2 linked regions of the Nothobranchius furzeri genome follow. The protein of the gene in region 2 interacts with the protein of the main gene of each other region in a biochemical or structural test. Links are inferred from orthologs where the notes say so. Each region holds a gene or a part of one and is shown on either strand. Other genes may lie near its edges.

What was found.
Region 1: the proteins of trinucleotide repeat-containing gene 6A protein (region 2) and cnot1 form a complex in vitro, tested with the Homo sapiens proteins (2 studies listed by BioGRID). The link is inferred for Nothobranchius furzeri from reciprocal best matches to the Homo sapiens genes TNRC6A and CNOT1.

Annotation. Positions count from the first base shown.
Region 1 is NC_091744.1:81,594,384-81,597,236, reverse strand, and holds the end of cnot1 (CCR4-NOT transcription complex subunit 1), read right to left. Parts: intron 2,440-2,853; coding exon 2,338-2,439; intron 2,246-2,337; coding exon 2,072-2,245; intron 1,966-2,071; coding exon 1,816-1,965; intron 1,741-1,815; coding exon 1,560-1,740; intron 1,421-1,559; coding exon 1,288-1,420; intron 1,202-1,287; coding exon 1,067-1,201; intron 949-1,066; coding exon 870-948; 3' UTR 656-869; downstream 1-655.
Region 2 is NC_091752.1:63,517,264-63,521,665, reverse strand, and holds the start of trinucleotide repeat-containing gene 6A protein, read right to left. Parts: upstream 2,890-4,402; 5' UTR 2,655-2,889; intron 1-2,654.

The DNA of each region.
Region 1 (2,853 bases), on a different chromosome or scaffold from region 2:
ATCTTTGCCTTGGTCCTTTTTCGACTGGAGTTCTGAAGGGATTCACACACGGCAGCAGTTTGAATGCTTTATTTTCTTTACGTATGCATACTGCAGTTAAGTAGCAAGAACTAAAGGCAAACTAGAAAGGACTACAAAATACAACACACGGACCAATACATTTACAAAACATTCAAAATGTTACAAAACGGGCTGTATTGGTCCTTCTATAGTTGTTCTTCAGTTTGGAACTTTGTACAAGTTGTCAAATGTTACCATCACTTTGCACAGTTTTACACGTGCCAAGGAGAGACCTTCACAGCCAGCTTCAAATGGACAAACCAGGAAACAGGTCTCCACCACCACACCTGAGACTTAACCACGCCTTTCAGTCCCACTCGAAAGGAACAAAACAAAAGAATCAAACAAAAGTAGCAGGCAGTTTTTTTTCTCTTCAATCATCTACTATTCTGCCTCTGAAAGCAAACAAATTCAGTAAGCAGGGTTTGTGTGGGAGGAAAGCAAACTAAGGACTTTGGTAGTGAGTGAGAATACGTTTGTGTCTTTACATGTCAAGGTACGAACTAGCCGACACGTGAGCAGCAACCCACCTGCCGACTTCCCTGCTCTCCCTTTTTTCTTTTTAATATTTACATCAAAGCATCAAAAAAGTATAATAAACAGCATGTTCCGATCCATTCTCCTCCCAACTCATCCCAAATGGAAAAAAACAAAATCTCTCTAGATCCTGGAGCAGTAGTCCTTCTGTTTCAACATGACTGGTCGCCAGTTTATCCAGTGCCAACAGTAGAGTGGGAGGTGTGTGTGTGTGGTGGCGGGGGCGGGTCAAGGCCACAGCATCCCTCAGAGGCTACGAGGTGACGTGCAGGTTAGCTGGCACCGGTTCCCTCCATCACCTGCTGGGCCTGCTTCTGCCCCATGCAGCACTGGGCTACGGACTGGAACAGCCTGGGGGGCGGGAGGAACAAAAACACCAGAACGGCTCAACAACAACAACAACTCCTGGAAACAATAAGCTAAATATTTTGTGAGCTGCTGTAATTCACGCCAACATCACAAAACCTACTTTTCAATCTCCGGGGCACAGTGCACAAAGTCGTGACTCCAAAACTTGAAGGCAGGATTCTTGATCAGCTCGATGAAGGTGATGAGGAGCCCCCATGGATGAGGCCGGTTCACAATCAGTCTCTCCAACAGAACCCTGAAGAAGAGAGGAACATGTTCAGCTAACAGGAAGTGTGATCCACATCCGTGAAGACTACTGAAGGTCACATCAGACGGTCTGACCTGGTGATCTGCTCCTGGATGGCCTCGGTGTTAGCCTCGGCGAACAGGTAGAGCATGGTGCAGCTGAAGTAGTGGGTGTGGCTGTTTGGGTAACGCAGCTGGTTGGCGATTGCATTCAAGAACAAGTAACGTCCTGGAAAAATATAGGAATTTGGTCAGTTTTTTGTTTTGGATGAAAGTTTAACATCATTTCTGCATCACCTTCGGAGAATTTCATCACATTTATCGTCAAACTGTTTCTGGACAATGTTTTAATGATCCTGCCGTCTTACCCTCCGTGTCCAGGTCCACAGCTAGGTTCTGAAAGATGTCCATGTGAGCAGAGTGGGTGATGGTGCTCATGGAGGGGGTGCTGCCCTTGTTGTGGATGTGAGCGATTGCTTGTGTGCCAACGTACAACACCAGAGCGTTGATCAGCTGGATGTTGTAACGATTTCCCGGTTCGTTCGACACCTAGGTGGAGAAAACAAAAATTAAGTTGCAGGAATTTAATTTGTATTGCTACGCCAGACGAGACACGGGCCTTACCTGCAGATTACTGCGCAGCTCAGACAGAAAGGTGACAGGTGAGCGTGTCTTCAGGTAGGAGTCCAGATCCTTCTTGAACTGAGACGGCATGACGCCTGTGAAGTTGGTGAGGATACGAGGAGCAATGTTGATCTCACTCAGCATGTCCACCTGCAAGAAAAGAGTTAAAACGAACATTTGTACAGATGGACCTCAAACGTGTGCGCGGAAAAAAGGAACTGTTGGTTTAAACGAAACCATCTCAGTGCTTGTGTACCTTCAGGTTGGGAGTGAAGGGGTCTGGAAGCCTCATGTTGCGTGGGAAGGCACTAAGGATGAGGTTGCGGAGCTGGATGCAGTTGGGTGGGATAACGTCACAGAAGCCGTAGTGATAGTCACACAGGAACTCTGGGAAGTCATGCAGCAGGACGAGAAGCACCCTCAGCGTTCCCTGAACAGAGTATAAGACACAGCAAAGTCGCATTGAGATTTATTATTCAAATGTGGATGTGAATTATTGTGGTTGTAGGTCTGACAGCGTACCTTGTAGAGGATTTGCATAGGTTTGATGAGCTCTACATTCCTCAGGAAGGGGGCGAGGTACTTGAAGAGATCAATCAGAAGCTGTGCATACATGGGCCAACCCTGGAGGACGAAATCAGCCCATTTAAGAACATTTAAAGAACAGAATTATACACAAACATTTGTCTCTAAGCAAATACATCTGCTACGGTCAGACTTTTCAGCTGTAACCCCGGTTTCACACTGCAAGCATCAGCGGAACGGAATGGCAGCGAAGCGGCACCGCTTCAAATAGAATCCAATTATAGTCTACGGAGTGTTTCAAACCAGCCGCGATGCGGCAATTTTCAGGCGCATCCCGGAAGCGGCATGCCGCGCCGCGCCGCGCCGCCAAAGATAGGATCGAGTTCTATATTTTCCGTGAGCCGCTTCTGGGACACATCAATTTCCGCAGTCCACATAGTGCGAAACAGGAAACCACACACGGTTTCAGTGTGAAATCCCCGGTTATTTTCAAAATAAAATGCAACGTTGCGA
Region 2 (4,402 bases):
AACCCTCAGGCTTCATTAGGGACATTTTTGTCCATTTGGGCAGTTTTTTGCTTTTCTTTTGGATGCCATTTCACCATTGTTTGTGCATATGGTAGGCCTGAACGATTTTAGGAAAAGACTGAATTGCAATTTTTCTAGCAGAAATTGCGATTTCGGTTCAATTCACGATTTTCTGCAAACAAAGATCCAGCATTAGCCTGCCAAGCCACCCTGTAGATTAGGTGAAAAGATGGTCTAGATTCTAATCTAGTACAACAAATCATTCACATTAATATTTACTATTTATTTAATCATACAATAAAAACAGTTAGCCATTATATTCTCCCATTATCTTTTTTTTTTTTTACATTTTTTTATGTGTTTGTGAAGCAACTTGTGCTTGTAGTTTATATCTAGAGAGGAGCTTTACAAAACATGTTCTATCCAAAAATGCATGGAGGAAATCTGTAAGTAAACATAGATTTTAAATGTATTAAATAAAAAAATGCACACAGTTTTCCCTGCATTACCGCGGCAGGCTGGCTGCACGTTTTTCAAAGTCGTCTGATTTTCCTCACTAAAATGTCAACTCCGTGAGAGACACAAGCATTCTGACACCTTAGCTTGTTTGAGCTAACGTGTGCCATCAGAAACATTCAAACCATTTTTAAAAGATAAGTTGAGCTTTCAAGTCAACTAAAGTGCGCGGCTCCGCACTCGCGCTGATGAAGCATAAACCAAGCTTTAGAAATAAGCCTGAACCTGCTCCGATGTGGGAGGAGTCTCTCTCCCTTACCCCCTACGTCCTCTCTCTCTCTCTCTCTGTCCCAGGCTCACCTTCGGTCCCATTATTATAGGCTCTAGCAGCGCTGTGTGTGGGAACGTAAAACAGGAACAATAACCTGAACATGCAGCTCTGGCAGCTTTGGAGTTGGGCTCTGCTCTGGATGGCACACCCCACTCCCCTCCCCCGCGCTGGATTTTGCCGCCGACATAACACAGGGCGACAACCCCGGATGTAAAAAATAAAAAATAAAAAGTTACAAAACTGATCCGGGATCAGTCAAAACCTCCAAAACCATAGCGTTGACGGTCACATGAGCGTGCTGTTTGAAATCGGAATTTCGGTCCAAAAACGATAGATCGTTCAGCCGTACCATACGGTACAAATCTTTGTTGCAAAACACCTCCCTGGACAAATTTCGAAATTCAATTTGGAATTTTGAAAATAAACCAAGTGAACACTATGAAGAAAAAAACAAAAAACACCATACACTTGAGTCTAGCGGACAAAAACGTCCCATTGACTTCCATTCAAACCACAGTTTAGTATGTTTATGCACCTGGCTGGAGCTCCAGACACGTGCATAAACATACCAATTGTTTTTGCTTTCTACACTTTGAAGTTCAGTAAGAGAGTCAAACTGTGTTTTATCTACTTATCAGAGGTCAGGTTGACCTTTTGACTTCAATACAAACAACAGAAGATCTAAAGAAATGTGTAGACTTTCTCACCTGGGCCACGTATGGAGAAATAACTGAATTTGGTGAAGAACAGTAAAAATCACAAATTTCACTAGTGAAAAATGAAACACTAATATCACAGAAAGCATGATTACTTTTTCCAGATGTTACAGGATGAAAAACTGTGGTTTGAATGGAAGTCAATGGGACATTTTTGTCCGCCAAGATCAATCTGTTGCTACACAAAAACTACGGATGCAAATTTTTTTATTTTTCAGTTATTTCATAACATGACTAAGCCTGATTTATAATAAATGCCCCAGGAAGAAACAGTTGTTTTTGGGGGAAAATAAGTCATTTTTGTGTTTTTTCCTCCATAAATTCCAGAAATGACTGAGTAATCAAACTGGCATTTGAAGTGTTAAAAATGATGGAGGGCTGAAGTAGTTTAACAGAAGGATGAAAAAAAAGCAGAAGAAAAATATTATTGTATACATTTTTATAGCCATTTTTACCAGCGGACGTTTTGTCCTCTAAAGACTCAAGTGTATAGTAAAATAAAGTGAAGCCTGAGGCTTAAGCGTCTTGCCCAAGGACACAACAGCAGCATTGTCTGATGGGAGCCGGGATCTAACCTGCAACCTTCTGATTACCGGTCTACCTCCTGAGCGACTGCTGCCCAAATAGTAAACCAATGCTGGCGGGAGTGAGCCAGACAGAGTTAAAACAGGATATGAACGATGGCTGTGAAGCAATGGACAACGGCGCGGCAGCACAGCTGATACTGTACTGTTTGATGGTGTAACGCATGTTACTTTGTAACAATGGAATTATCAGAAGACTACTTCCACGGTCTCGTGGCATCAGCTCGACTGAGTCATTTACATGCAGATGAAGTTGAGTTTCTACCGCATTATGTGGGTGCTTTAGCCAGACTAATGCGTTTACATGCATAAAAAAAAACTACGTCCCTTTAAGGCAATAGTTTGGTTTTCTGACTATGAAGCAGTGGAGGGTCTGTGCAAGTAACTTTATTGCTTCATCTGATTTCATAAAAACTATGTAGTAGGTCCCTCAGACCTGAGGGTTAAACACCCGCTCACATCTGTAGCCGTTTAAATGCACAGCTGCCTTCAGTCCTTCATAAAGGAGGAGTCAGTTGGGAATGCAAATGCCTGCCCCCCCCCCACCCCCCCACCCCCACTGCTTACCTCTGAGTGCCACTGGTGGCTGCAGCTCCTGGCTGGACAGGAGGGTGTCCCCGGTTTCAGAAGAGAACAGGTGGCCTTTGGTTCCCAGCTCGGCACAGGGGAGGTCAAAGGTCAACACTTAGTGAGCACAGCTTCAAGGGTGTGAGGTGAGGAGGCGGGGCTTGTCAGAGCAGGAGACAGGCTGATTAGCCTCCCTTGGCATCGCTGAAGACTGGTGTTTGTGATTGTTTGTAAATAGGGACGGGGAAGGATGGAGGCGTGGTTATGATTAAGGACCGTCTTGATGTAGTATGCTTCGGCACTGCTGCACAAAAAAATAAAAAAATAAAGGAAAGGAAAGAAGCCATTATTAGTTTATTTTAATACTCTTTCTTTGTAATTTTAGATTCAAAACATCTGTAAAATAATTGTTCACAACGTTAGCCATCACATTCATCAGCTTCCGAAGCAATCCTGAAGTATTTCAAACAGCTGTCACAATCTTGTGCTTTAGAAACAATCCACATGCTCACAGAAAGACGTGATGGATAAAAAGGAGCTAAATGTTCATAAAACACTACGTGGTTTCTCAAAACAAAACATTTAGTTTTCTGACCTTTTTCAGCATAATAAAACAATTCCTACCAGAGTCAATGAATGCTAATAAATTATTATTCAACATGTTGACTACTCACTGGTTAAAGCAAAAGGTTAGATGGCAACTCGGCAAAACAACCGAGGGTAAATGGATCTCTAACTTGCTTTCGATTTCTGCAACAACCCAGACTAGAAACCTGACAAGAATGAGAAGGATGTAGCAGCTTGGTAATCAACATTGGTTTGTTCAATTGTGTGTGGGGAAAATGCCAACAACATTAGGAAAAAAAATCAGTTTAATCAAATTAAAATAAAATGGTTCTAGTATTTCATATTTCCTAGTTCCTAATGCATGAGTTCAGATGCATTAATTCATGCACTTAAACATTAATGTTCTGATTTTAGTGAAAAACTTGTTCTGTAATAGTTCCTTTGCTATTGTGATCAAAAACATTTCATCTCAATTCTGAGGCTGCTCTGTAAATATTTTTCTAATAAACAACACACATAGCAACTTCTGATCAATCTTTATCAGCTTCAGATTTAAAATAATGTATTGATGTAAACCACACCCACTAATTTCCAAATAATAAATAAGAGGTGCATTCATCTGTGTACAGGGTATATACAGCAATCCTTAAGTAAAATTTACTACTTTTTAATACTTTTTTTTACTACCTTCAGAATTTTTTTAAAACCATCACAACACTAAATTGCAAGTGTTAATCAGCGACCTATTTACACATATTTTAACATATATAACATACAAAAAGCATAGACTTAGAGACTCACTGATGTTGACAACGTATTGCGCATATTTATTTTACTTAGAAAATATGCCAGGCACTTCTTTTCAGCGGTTCAGACAGTTGACCACGGGGCCTGAAATGATGCAGAACGACCACTGAATATGACGTCATCATAATGTGACCGGATATGCTAAAGTAGGGTTGCTCAATTATGGCAAAAACAATAATCACGATTATTGTGACTGAAATTGAGATCTCGATTATTTAAGACGATTTTTCAATTTATGTAGATTTTTTTAATTTATTTTTATTCAGTCATAAAACTGCTCAGGGCACAATCAGGGCAAAAATAAACAAGAAACAAGATGATCACTAAAAGAACTCCTGATTCCCAGTATAAAAAGACCAATATACTTATAGCTC